2 linked regions of the Drosophila melanogaster genome follow. The protein of the gene in region 2 interacts with the protein of the main gene of each other region in a pairwise test. Each region holds a gene or a part of one and is shown on either strand. Other genes may lie near its edges.

What was found. Proteins that work in one complex are often made in the same cells at the same time.
Region 1: the proteins of Sfp38D (region 2) and CG43121 interact in a two-hybrid assay, tested with the Drosophila melanogaster proteins (one large-scale study listed by BioGRID).

Annotation. Positions count from the first base shown.
Region 1 is NT_037436.4:14,669,235-14,675,267, forward strand, and holds CG43121 (uncharacterized protein), read right to left. Parts: upstream 3,204-6,033; 5' UTR 3,167-3,203; coding exon 2,813-3,166; 3' UTR 2,701-2,812; downstream 1-2,700. Other genes in the region: dlp (dally-like), read left to right, coding at 62-609, 670-839, 939-1,384; CG4914 (uncharacterized protein), read right to left, coding at 5,447-6,033.
Region 2 is NT_033779.5:20,637,571-20,645,294, reverse strand, and holds Sfp38D (seminal fluid protein 38D), read right to left. Parts: upstream 4,379-7,724; 5' UTR 4,356-4,378; coding exon 4,313-4,355; intron 4,247-4,312; coding exon 3,780-4,246; 3' UTR 3,079-3,779; downstream 1-3,078. Other genes in the region: phr6-4 ((6-4)-photolyase), read left to right, coding at 1-631, 695-1,650; CG17470 (uncharacterized protein), read left to right, coding at 2,191-2,838; CG31680 (uncharacterized protein), read right to left, coding at 4,631-5,031, 5,103-5,145.

The DNA of each region.
Region 1 (6,033 bases), on a different chromosome or scaffold from region 2:
AGATCATTGTTTCCCTTTGTACTGATCAACAGTGTGTAACTCTCAAATTAATTCATTGCAGGATTCTGGCCAGGACATCACCAACCGCGTATTCCAAGGATGCGGTAGGCCAAAGTTGAAGAAAATGAAACGGTCCATCAGCCCCAAACTGCAAGGAGTTCAAATCCTCAACGCAAGGAGTCCTGTGGAGGCCGATACTCTGGACATTGATGAAACGTTGGACGAGGCGATTGTGCTGAGAGAACGCAGAGCTGCTGAGCCCGGCTCACAGGAGACATCGGCGCAACAGTCTCAAGAGCAAGGAGTTGGAAAGAGTGGAAATGGAGGAGGAGGCGGTGGCGGTAACAACAGGCGGCAACAGCAACGTCGAAAGCAGCAGCAACAGCGACGCAAACAGCAAAACAATCGCGACGACAACGATGACGATGACAATGAGAGCGGAGGTGGACGTGAACCGATTCTGGACAGGATCGTGAGGGACATTCGCCAGCGAGTGAAGGACTACAAAAAGTTCTGGTCCAATCTGCCGCACTCGGTTTGTAGCAACGAGGATATAGCCTCCAGTTCCGATGTGGACGGCATGTGCTGGAATGGTCACACAATTGATAGGTAGGCGGAAAAAACTAAATAAAATTAGCACAGCTATCTTAAACATATTATATTTTTCAGATACATGCACTCAATCACCACAGAACACGGCTCGAATCCGGAGTTTACAGGCAATCCTGCCAGTACTAAGCAAACAGCTCAAATGGCCTCTCAACTAAGTCATCTGAAGAATGCCATTGTCCACCTTCGAAATGCCTACAACGGCCAGGATGTTGAGTGGAGCGAACAAGGTAATATATGCTGGTGATTGTAATGAGTCTGTTTATAAACCATCGAATCAATCTTTTTATGTATACTTACTAACCCTTTGTTTCATTTTTGTTTTACAGAAGAACTGCCATATGCGGGTAGTGGAGCTGGTTCTGGATCCGGGTCCGAAGACGACGAGGACGATGACGAGGGCTCTGGCCTGGGACCCTTCGAACCCAGCCATAAGCCGGACGTGGAGCGTCCTTCGGTGGATGCAGACAACGACGATGACGAGGACGCCGGTGGACGGGGTCACATGCCCACGCACACATCTCGACCGACGAGCGGAGTGGACGACAAGAATCCGCTCATCCACACCACTCACTTCGACCAAGATCACAACGATCTGGATGAGGATCATAGGCAGCTGGATGAGGATGAGGACACGGATGCAGGCCATGACGGGGCCAATGACAATCGATCATCCGATGCCCCAGAAAAGATGACGCTGCGTCGCGCTCTGGTTGTTTATCTGCTGCCCCTTTATATGGCGTGGTTCGGTGGCGTCTGCGCCGATTTGCTGTGATTACTCAACGTGCGAAATGCAGCCAAGATGGAGCACGGCTGCATCCCCTACACCTCTCAGTCATTCATCCGTGAAGCAAAATGTTATTAGCAGAACTACATGCTACCCCTTATATACGAAATGCGAGTCCAAAATTTTATAAAAACTTTTGATAGTAGCAATCAAAACGCAATCAAGAAAATAGGTAATTTTTCGAATTTTACTCTCGTCAGGAATTTTTTCAAATTTGAATTGGATGAAATCTCACTCTAAATCTAAAATTTAATTTTTGAAAACTACCAGATATTGTAAAAATCAGAAAATGCCTGATCTAAAGCGGTTCTTTAATGAGACCCGATAGGAGAAAAAGAAATTAGTGGAGGAGAGAGAATACGTAACGAGCCCATTTTAGTTTAGTAAGCCCCCAAACGCCCCTGTTCCCCCACACTCTAAGTCTAAGTGCGAAATTGTATTTTGTAAGCCAGAGAGTGAATGAATGTAGAAGTGAGTGCGTGTATGTCGCGGAGTGAATGCTTTTACCGAGTGTGAGTGCGAGCGGAGTGCCTGTTCAATGTGATCGTTTAGCAAAAATTAACTATAAACACTTTAGCCCCTAGAGACCTAAGCGAAAAACACACCTACACCTACATATTTAATTTGTATTATATTTATGCATACGCGCATATGTAATGTAACCAGCAAATTGCCACAGCACACAATTTCAATTATCACCGAAATGAAGAGCAATAACTAATTTGTAACTGTAGTCTACTGATAAACCTAAAAACTGAAGTCTTATTTACGTTAACATGGCCATAGAAAAGCGTCCGAGCCACGGCTTTTGTAATTTTGTATCTTTCGTAGACAGCCCTGACTTTTGCCAGCCATCAAACGCATTTCAAACTAAACTGTGTACACCTACATATTTATATTTATTTTTGATTTTTTATCGGTTTTTATATATTGTATTAAAACAAATGGAAAAAGAAAAAATACAAAAACGTAACAAAAGAAAAGAACTTCCGCTTTTAATTGTGGGGATTGATTTAGAAGGTGTTTCAAAAGTTCATTAACTCATGCCCTTAAAAACCGTTACTGTTATATGGCGTTGCCAGAATTGAAAAATATTTATGTATGATACATCTTCAGCTGTAGGTTTTATGAACGCTAGAGGTCGCACATGTGCCAATGTAAAAGTCGTTTGTAAACAAATTGCCTAAAGCGCAGAGTTTCTTAACGGAAAGTTATGCTTTCTTAAATTTTAAAAAACAACTAAGCTGAAGAAGACAAGTAAACAAGAAAACAATACACAGTAAGCAAGAAAAAAAATTCTTTTTGCCACGGTTTTTATTCTAACAATTAACAATTAACAATTTTCTGCCCGTTTTCCTCGTGTATAACGTATGGAAAACCGTAGCATTAATAACAATTATACAATGGAAAATCGCATTATTGATTTCCTGTGACTTCCTTGTCTACCTCTTCAATTTCATCATCATCTACCTTTGACCCAATAGCTTCTTCATTTGCAAATTCTGAAAGTTCTTTCTCCTGGTTGTCCAACTCATCCTCCAATGTTTCCAAGTCCTCATAGGTGTCTCCATTACCTTCGTCCAAAGCAGGTAAATTCAAGCTAGCCATTGAGTTCTCCACAGATGTAAGGCGGTCCAAGAGGGTCTTCAGGCGCTTGTCGATAGACTGGAGGGCTACAAGGCTCCCTTTGGTTTTCTCTTCAGTCTTTGTTAATAGCCCGAGGTCATGTAGACTTTTTTTCGGTTTCTCCGGAGACTCCGGGGAAAGCATATCTAAAATTTTTTTTTATTTCTTCTATGATGGGAATAATTTTAGAGACTGTCAATGATCGATGTATACCTTACTTCTATATTGTCAAAATAGTTAATATTAATGACTGGCCTCCTAGATTACCAAAATTGATAAATAAATACTTATTTTATGAGTATTGATTGATTATGACTTTGAGGCGCATATATTCAGAATACAGTTCTATCTAGCTGTATGCATATATTAGAATAAGTGACCAATTTTGGTATCAATTTTTTTCCATGTACCAAAAATACTCATTCATTCATATGACCGGCAAGTGGGAGAGCGTGGAAACTCCGAGATCGTGGCCAAGCGCAAAGGTCTCGAGATCTCAGGCGACGCTCCATCCGTCGGAATATCTGGCCTGATGGCTCTCTGTGTATCTTTGGGTGCGCGGGGAGCTTGTGGTGGCTTTTTCAGTGAGCGCGCGATCGGCGTACGGTAAACAACAACTGCTGCCAACGCAACGTGAAAAATGAACTGCGGCAAAGAAAATTTCGAAACGTAAACCTGGAGCGCCCCTCTGTGCACACGAAAATATATCTGTGAGATGCGCGAATGCGAATCTTGATGCATTGCAAAAATTTTGAATTTAAATAATTACGCAAGGCGCGGCACACGTGAGTGCGGTCGTGAAATGAAATGAAATGAAAAGTGGGCGAAGCGAAAGTGGAAATTGACGTCAATTTTCCTGTGATCACTGTGATTGTGATGAGTAACCAATTATAAACAAGTGAAAGACGACAAATAGATAAGGCTATCAGCAATCTTTCGGTTCGGTATCGTTCATCCGCAGTTCCGCGTAAGTTTCATTAGGCAAAACACTAAAATTTCATAAACAAACATTTGAAATGAGAAAACTTTTTGGTTCTCCGGCCAAAGCAACGTTTGACTTTTAAAGTCAACGTCTTCTTCTAAGCTCTTTTCTTTTCATCTTTTATTTGCCCCCTTGCGCTTTCAGCTGTTCGATGGAAACCAGTTTGCCATAGACTAGCTAGCTAATGTTTCTAACGATATTTGCTTTTTGGGCCGCATCAAACCGCTGAATGTTTAGACTTCTAACTGCAACTGTTGCTGCTGGCTGAAGGTTGTTGTGTCTTACACAGTTAGGCGCACAATTAACTGACTGCGGAGCAACAGTAGTCAGCTGTGTAATCTTCTAGGGATGACTAAAAATAAACACAAGTAATTGCTAAAATAAAGAATGGAAACAAAGTTAGCACCTTCTCAAATTTATCATAGCCTGAGTATATAAAGCCAGTTGTTTCGTCGGAAAGATTTTTAGACGTATTAACATATATGTACTTGCGGTTTCTTTCAATCTAACAATATTTAGGAAGGACTCATTTAAAGGTATAAATGGTTGGATTTTATATATAACGTGGTCAACTTTATCGTATATTTAGGTTTTTGATTAAAATTTATCATGCTCTCATAACGCATAATTGAAAGGCTATTACGGGGTTTTTCAATAAAAAAAAATATAAGCAAAAAATTCGCTCATGCGAATTTGTACCACATAGCAGAGCAAGGTTTCGATCCTCGGACCTCTGGGTTATGGGCCCAGCACGCTTCCACTGCGCCACTCTGCTTGCTTGAGGCCAACAGGCCATTGAGTCGATGTAATTACAAAGGACACTTTGTTACCAATAAAAGTAAAATAGAAATGCGCTTCACAGTACAGCGTTCTAACTACTGTATGTACGCATTAACTGTTCAGTTGTTGAAACTGTATACACATTCACTGTACGATTAAAGCGTATTCTTATAGTAATACATGAACACTGCTTTGTGGATGAGCAACAACAGAGCTGTTAAGAAAGCAGTGCACTGTAAAGGGTCACAAATGTATATTCGTCGGTAACGAGGTGTTCCACTTCTCGTTTGTAATTAACTAGCCTTGAGGTCCAGTACTTCAAGCAAGCAGAGTGGCGCAGTGGAAGCGTGCTGGGCCCATAACCCAGAGGTCCGAGGATCGAAACCTTGCTCTGCTATGTGGTACAATTCGCATGAGCGAATTTTTTTATTGCGAAATTTCGATGTTTATATTTGTACATAAAATGCATTTTTGCAATTAGTAAAGAAATTTCCTAGCCAAATATAAGACGCACTGATTAAGGGATTTCTAACCTACTGCATTGTTTATCTTTATTCAGTTGTTTTAGTATAAAAGTACAAAATATGACCTAAACTACTAAGGGATTAACTACAGACTAAGGCGAAGAATTGTCCACCGCTTTGAGCACTCTCTTTATGATATTAGTAATCCTCATCGCAGAAACAACCGTCTCGCGAGTTCTCCACAATCCAGTCCAGATATTTCGTGACTCGGGTATACACTCCTGGATAATTGGGTCTAGCACAACCGTTACCCCAAGATACTATTCCAATCTGTTCGAATCGCTTGTCATCTGGGCGAAGACGTACCAGTGGACCACCAGAATCACCCTGACAACTGTCCCGCCCACCAACGCCTGGATAGCCCGAGCACATCATGTTCTTAGTGATCATTTTCTGGGTGTAGTTCGTTTGGGCGACACATTCGTCGTTGTCGAGAACGGGAACTTCAACCTCCTGCAGTAAACAGGAGGGTTTTCCATCTTCCTTGAGGGTTCCCCAGCCCGTTGCAATAGCCTTTGTGCCCACAAATAGATCCTGGCGCTGTTCCACCCGTGGCAGGCAGATTGGCCGTATAAAACTGGTGATCGGCACTCTATCGTTCAGACGTAGTAGGGCTATATCATTGTCGAAGTTCGAGAAGCTGAACTTTTGGCTAAAGGCGCGGAGCACGAAGCGCGTTTCCGGGCGCTCCTTGTCATTGCAACGATCGTGCTCCCCGAAGGTCA
Region 2 (7,724 bases):
CGTAAAGGACTCCGGTTGCACGACAATCCGGCATTATCGCACATTTTTACCGCCGCTAACGCTGCTCCAGGAAAATACTTTGTTCGCCCGATTTTCATTTTGGATCCAGGAATCCTCGATTGGATGCAAGTGGGTGCCAATCGATGGCGATTCCTGCAGCAAACGCTGGAGGACTTGGATAACCAGCTTCGGAAACTTAATTCCCGTCTGTTTGTGGTGCGCGGGAAGCCCGCAGAGGTTTTTCCCCGTATTTTTAAGAGTTGGCGCGTGGAAATGCTAACTTTTGAGACAGATATCGAGCCGTACTCCGTGACCCGGGATGCTGCCGTGCAGAAGTTGGCCAAGGCAGAGGGTGTGAGAGTGGAAACTCATTGCTCCCACACGATTTATAATCCGGAATTAGTAATAGCGAAGAATCTTGGCAAGGCTCCAATTACCTATCAAAAGTTCCTGGGCATTGTGGAGCAACTAAAGGTACCTAAAGTTCTAGGGGTTCCTGAAAAGCTTAAAAACATGCCTACACCACCCAAAGATGAGGTGGAGCAAAAGGATTCGGCGGCCTATGATTGTCCTACGATGAAGCAATTAGTAAAACGCCCGGAGGAACTGGGCCCTAATAAGTTTCCGGGAGGTAAAAACATAGTTAAACTCTTGATCACAACTACAACAATGTGGATTTCTTTTTATCAAACAGGCGAAACAGAGGCACTGCGCCGCATGGAGGAATCCCTAAAGGATGAAATTTGGGTTGCCCGCTTTGAGAAGCCCAACACGGCACCCAACTCGCTGGAGCCTAGCACTACCGTACTAAGCCCTTACCTCAAATTTGGATGCCTTAGTGCCCGACTGTTCAATCAAAAGCTCAAGGAAATTATCAAACGCCAGCCGAAGCACTCGCAGCCGCCCGTTTCGCTCATTGGACAACTCATGTGGAGGGAATTTTACTACACAGTGGCGGCTGCGGAACCCAATTTCGATCGAATGTTGGGCAATGTATACTGCATGCAAATTCCGTGGCAGGAGCATCCAGATCACTTGGAGGCCTGGACACACGGACGCACAGGATATCCTTTCATCGACGCCATCATGCGTCAGCTGCGCCAGGAGGGTTGGATCCATCATCTGGCCCGGCATGCAGTGGCATGTTTCTTAACGCGCGGAGACCTCTGGATCAGTTGGGAGGAGGGACAGCGGGTGTTCGAGCAGCTGCTGCTGGATCAGGACTGGGCACTAAACGCTGGCAACTGGATGTGGCTATCTGCGTCCGCTTTCTTTCACCAGTATTTTCGCGTCTACAGTCCGGTGGCGTTTGGCAAGAAAACGGATCCCCAAGGGCACTATATCAGGAAGTATGTGCCGGAACTCTCAAAATATCCTGCTGGCTGTATTTATGAGCCCTGGAAGGCGTCGCTGGTGGATCAGCGGGCATACGGCTGCGTCCTCGGCACGGATTATCCCCACCGGATTGTTAAACACGAAGTGGTGCACAAGGAGAACATTAAGAGAATGGGCGCCGCCTACAAAGTAAATCGGGAGGTGCGCACTGGCAAGGAGGAGGAGTCGTCTTTCGAGGAGAAATCAGAAACCTCCACGTCTGGCAAGCGGAAGGTGCGAAGGGCAACCGGAAGTGCCCCTAAGCGAAAACGTTAAAACCTAAAATTTGTTCGCTACCTTATGTAAAAGGTAGTTAGATCTACGGAGTGAGCTAATATGAATTAAGGATGGAAGAATTGTTTTATGTACTATTTTAGGTATAAATCTATAAACTTCTTGATTGTTACCCTACCGAAATTTAGGTATAAAACGAGTATATAGTATTTGTTGGAATTGGAATTGGAATTGGAATGTTCGAGTTGTCAATAGGTATAAGAGGGTGACAAAAGAATATGTTTAAACGCTTGTGTACTTCACATAAAATGCACCAATAAAGATATTGATACGGCGATAGTGATTTCATTTATATTTCAATTTCAGTAATTATCAGTAACCAGTGTAGCCTGGCCTTTAACTTCCTTCACAATCGAGATTTGTCAGTTGTCGGGTTTAGCTGGGAATTTTAGTCATATCTAAAATTTCGGCAACATAAGACCTTCCAATTTTTGTTTGTAAATAAGAACGTTTTTTAAATTTAACTTCGGTTTTTGTTCTGTTGGGTAGTTAGTTTCCGCACTCGAAACACCGACAAAAACCATGTTTCGCAATCTTTCGATGCTGAGGAATCAGCTGGCGCTGCACCGTGTCCGTGTGGCCCGCTCGACCTTGCACTCCAAAATGTCTACTGGTCTTACTTGCCTCACCATTGACCGTCCGCGGAACATCGATGGCGTGACCGTGATAGATATCAATATAAATGAGATGGCCAAGACTGACGTAGAGTTTAATCGCAATTTCGTCAATTCGCTGACATTGATGGACCATACTCCATTCAAAGAGGTGACCAACATAGTGGACGCGGATGCAGTTGAGTCGCCACCAGCAGAGAATCCGATTTCTGGAGATACCGTGGAGATCCTGCCTACTGGCGCACCTAGTTCCGTCGTAGGCGTCGACGGCAACCCCATTGTCCCCATCGAGATTGATGGCTGGAACCAGGACGAGGAGGATCCCACCGTGCAAAAGAACGTCCAGGACGTGGACATTGGTAACGATGACGAGTACAAGGCCGAGATGGAGCTGCGGGTGCCGGAGGTCAGGGAAGGTCGAACCGAGTACAAGGGCATCAAGGTGACGTTGCCGGAATCGGCCAACCAGGATGTCGGCACTTATCGCTTCCGCCGCGATCCAAAGGATCTGGAGGAGGTCGGCGACGACACGCGCCTGGTTCGATACGACAAGTAGAAAAACTGGTTCCAAAATTCTTAAGGATTTTTTTGGACGACTTCCGCTTGCGACTATTCCAATTTTTTAGCGTATTCAATAGGTTTTCGGTAAAAGGAAGCACTAGCATTGATGTAATAAAAAAAAACATATTTATATGTTCAGTTAATAGAAATTTTACTTTTTTCTTTGCTTCATTAATCTGTAAACTAAAATTTAGCCTTATTGCCTGATCTAGATAGAAATGCGACCATATGGACTCGCATCCGCAATCTGCAAAATTGCAAATTTGTCCAAAGTTCGATTGACGATTATGATGCGGACATGGCCACTAAGAACTGTCAGTTGGCAACCGGTCATGCTTTAATGAAAACCCAACTAGAGACCGCGACCACTATTTTAACCCACCCATGCCACATGCCGCATGCCCCATACCCCATGCCCCGCGCCTACATCCACATCCACTCTCCATATCACAAAAGATCGCTTTGTGGTCAGTGGCAACCGAATCCGGGGCAAACACTTCCCATAAATTGCATTAAAAGCGGGCCAGGAGCGAAAACTACTCGCAACAATGCAGCCGGACATAAACACGCTGCAAAATGTTTGTAGGCTCTAAACCAAAATTGAATTTGCGGTTTTGCCTGCGGGGCGTGGCAGTGGGCGTGGGTGTGGCCGTGGGCGTAGCTGTTGGCGTAGGCATTTAGTCGGCGGCCGGTGGTGTGACAGTATCTGTGCAGGTGGGGGCCGGCCAAATAACTGTAAATGAAGCTAAAATGTGGTCAGCCGAATTGTGGATGCAATAAAAATGGCCACGGGCTCTGCGAAATGAAAGTATGGTCAACGAGATTGATTATAATCAATATTAACAGGGCCGGAAACTCGTTGCTGGAAGCTCTCGAAAGATACATATATGTGTATATATTGATATAATGCACTATCTAGATACTAGTAATACTAGCTTAGTAATAACTATACTCATCCGGATTTTCAGAGCTTTCACTTAGTTCACTAGACTGCACTTTAGTTGTTTCGCATTGTTTCGAGTTGCGTATGAGGTTTGTTTGCTTAGTTAAATTCGAAAAATTGTGGGCCAATTTAAGGGATCTTTTCTGGCGTTGGTAATACTTGAGACACCCTTTATCCTTTATCGGGACTTTGGCCATAATATCGGATATGAGGTCATCGATCGCCGTAATGCGTTCCCTAATTTTATTTTCCAATTGCAAGCGACGTTCGTCGTAGTTTTTAAATTCAGCTTTGACCTTCATTTTGTCTTCCAATCTTCTCGACTTGCTAGTTTTCTCAAGTTTGCCAATCCACTGAGAGAATTCGGGATTGCTAAGAGCTTGCAGTTTATATTTCTCCACAAGTCCCTTTAGTCGAATTGTGGCTTCGTCATTAAGCTGGCCAATTGTAGTGCCAAGTACTGCATAAATATTGCTTAAATGAGTGTCTGTCTTGGGATATCTGTACAAATGTACTATGTACTTACTGTAGCCAATATTTGCCAATAGGCATATTGCCATAAACTTCATATTGGCGGTTCGAAATGCTAACTGAAGTGAATAGCTAAAATGGGAAAGTCTACAAAGGGCAAAGCAAATCGATGGATATGCACATGCATATTAAGCATATTAAATAGATTAAGCTTAAATACTTAAGCCATGCAAAGCAACTGCGGTTAAAAAAACCTTATCACACAAATTCAAACAAATATTCAACAGGCTTGCCCATAATTAATTAAGCTTGAATTATTCCAAAGTATTTCAATCAAAAGCGATATTTTATTTGATTTGGTTAAACATATTTATCATAAGTAGTCAACAAAGTAAGGGTCACCAAGCCTGCCGTCATCCAATCCATGAGGGCATCTTACACTATTTTGGTAGAGAACCTGTTGTTTTCTTTCATTGGAGGACTTGTAGGCACTTTCAAGTTCAGCTTCCTGATTAAGGTAGAATCGAAGACATCTCTTGCTTGCGTTTCTTATGGCAATTATGGATCTGATCGTTATCAAGCGCTCAGTAATTTGATCCTCAAGTCTTTGCCGATGCTTATTGTAGTGATTGAATTCATCGGCAACGGTGTTTACCCTTTCTATCCACTGGTAGAACTCGGGGTTTCCGGTGGATAGGTATTTGTACTTGTTTGAAATATTATGAAGCCTCCACGTCGCCAGCCTGTCCATTTCTGCTAAGGATTCACTTAGAACTGTGGAATATATTGTAATTTCCTGTCATATTAGAGGCTGATATCTCAATCTGGATCTGCAATGAACTCACCAAAGCCCAGATTCGCCAATACTAAGAGTGCTATTATCTTCATTCCGCTAACCAACAAATGCATCTGATACGGATATTTTAAATATTGTTAATTTATAAACCTAAAATAATATATAAAGGAGTGTAGAAAACCCATTCGTCAAGCTTTGCGATTGACTTTTTACACTCTTAAAAAAAAAATGTGCAACAAATGCTAGGTAAACAAGACTTGAAGCCATATGCATTTTTAAACCAATTCGATACAAACATGTCATATTAATGCTCGCTTAATAACTTATAGATATAAGCCTCATTTTCAGTAATACCCATGGAAATAGACTTGTGTACTCGGAAAAACTGACTGCCACCAGTTTTCGTCGGAAATAATGGGGTTGGTGACATGTGGTCCATGTGCTGTTGCTGCTACTTTTAAGGGCGTCCGTCGGCTGCCGGGAAAACTTAATCCTTAAACATCCGACGCCAAAAACCAGTGCGGTTTTAAATTAAACAATATAACAAGCTCTAGTCCAGTTCCTCGACTATCTAGAGGACTAGATACCCATTTGCCAGTTGGTCGGAGTGCGAACAAGAATTTTCAACCATTTTTTGGTATATTGGCAGAGTAGGTGTTCGATAAAGGTTAACCAAAAGCGACCTTTTATTTGATTTCATTGGACAATTTTATGATCAATAGCCTAGATAGTAATCATAATCATATCCTTGTATCTCCGGTGGTGCAGAGCATTCCCTCATATTTCTCATATACACCTCTTCTTTTCTCTTATTTGAGAACTTGTAGGCATTCTTAAGTTCATTTTCCTGATGCTGGCTAGGGATTAGGGATCTGAGCGTGTTCAAGCGCTGAGTAATGTTATCTTCAAGCAATTGGCGTTGCTTATCGTATATTTTGAAGTAACCTTCTGTGTCCAAGCTTTAAGGCAGCAACGTTGTTTACTTTTTCAATCCACCGGGAGAACTCCGCGTTTCCGGTGGCTAAGTATTTATACTTGTTTACAATATTTCGAAGTCTCCACGTCGCCAGCCTGTCGTGTTCTTCATATTCCCTACTACTTAGGGCTGTGAAATGTATTGTAATTTCCTGTCATATTAGAGGCTGATATCTGAATCTGGGGCTGCAATGAACTAACCACAGCTCAGATTCGCTAATACTAAGAGGGATATTTTCTTCATTCCGCTAACCAGCAATGTCTACTGATACGGTTATTTAAAATATTATTTATTTATAGAGCTAAAATAACAAATAAAAAAGTGTTGCCATTCGGCAATCTGATAATTGTATGCAGTTGACTTTTTACATTCTTAAAAGAAATGTGTGCGCATTCCGCGCACATTAAGGACTTAATATATATAAATAGAAATAAAATATATGAATAATGTAGAAAATAACTAAGTTAAATAATGAAGTACAAATAAAGAATAATTATATTAATGAGTAAATAAGTAGTAAAGCGAAGCAATTGAAATTTAAATATTTGAGAGCGCCCGCCCGCAAGCACTGGCGGCTGGTCACACTGTTCCGAGTAGGCTGGGCACGCTAATCCAGGCAAATGCCACGCAGCCGACGGGCACACTAACCCAGCAGGTGCTTTTACGAAGTGGGCGACTGCCGGGTTATTAAGCAAGGCACTTCACAGCTCGGTTAATAGATCACGTCGTCTCTCTTTCGCTTTTAGCGCACCTTAAACGGGTTCCCAAGTGATCTCTCACTCTCTCTCTCTCTCTCTCACTCTCTCTTGTCGCTGATCTTAAAACGGTTTTCCAAGTAATCTTTCTCTCTTGTGAAGCACCTTCAACGTTTTCTCAAGCGATCTCGCCTTCTTCTCTGACATCACGGAAATTGGTTTGGAGCTAAGACAGGATCCGAGAAATTTCTCCGTGGTCATGTCAGAGGTGGCCTCTAGATGTATAGACTTCGTACTGAAGCTTACGAATACGCATACATAGCCTATAGTAATTTGACAGCCGCTACTCTTAGAGTAGGACCCGTTCCGAGAAGTAGGTGCGCACTATACGGACTACGTAGGCTGGCACCACTAAGGCGGTTAGTGCATCTAGGATCCGGTCCCACATCATCTGGTGCATCCGAAAGCGTAGACCGCTACTACAACCACTCTTTTGACAGCATCCACCGTGGATCGCGCTTTCCTGAAACCAAACTGGAACCGTGAGAGGTCTCCTGCGTCTGAGATAGCCCTCTCCACACCAACGCACACCAGTTTGGAGCTTGCACACCAGGAGCTTGCCATTTCCATCGATGAGGCATATCGGGGGGACCATGAAGGCTCCTCGGGTGGCTTCCCTGGTTTTGTGCGGAGCAGCAGTTTTTGGTTCTTTCAACAGGTTGGGAAGACGTCTTTAGTCATGCACTTGGTGAACGCCTTTGCAAAAGTGGGCTAGCTGGAGGGAGAGCGCTAGCCGAAGCGCCCTGTTGCGAATTCCGTCGAGCCCGGGGCCTTGCCGTCCATCAGTAGCTTCGCCAACTCCAGGATCTCCTCCCTGCTGACCGTGGCGTCTGCTTCGACGTGGCCATCTTTGGCTGGGTCAGCGGGACATAACCCGTCCATCAACTAAAACAGATGCTCCAATACACTGCGGAGCTTCACAGGGTCGAGGGGCGTGGGA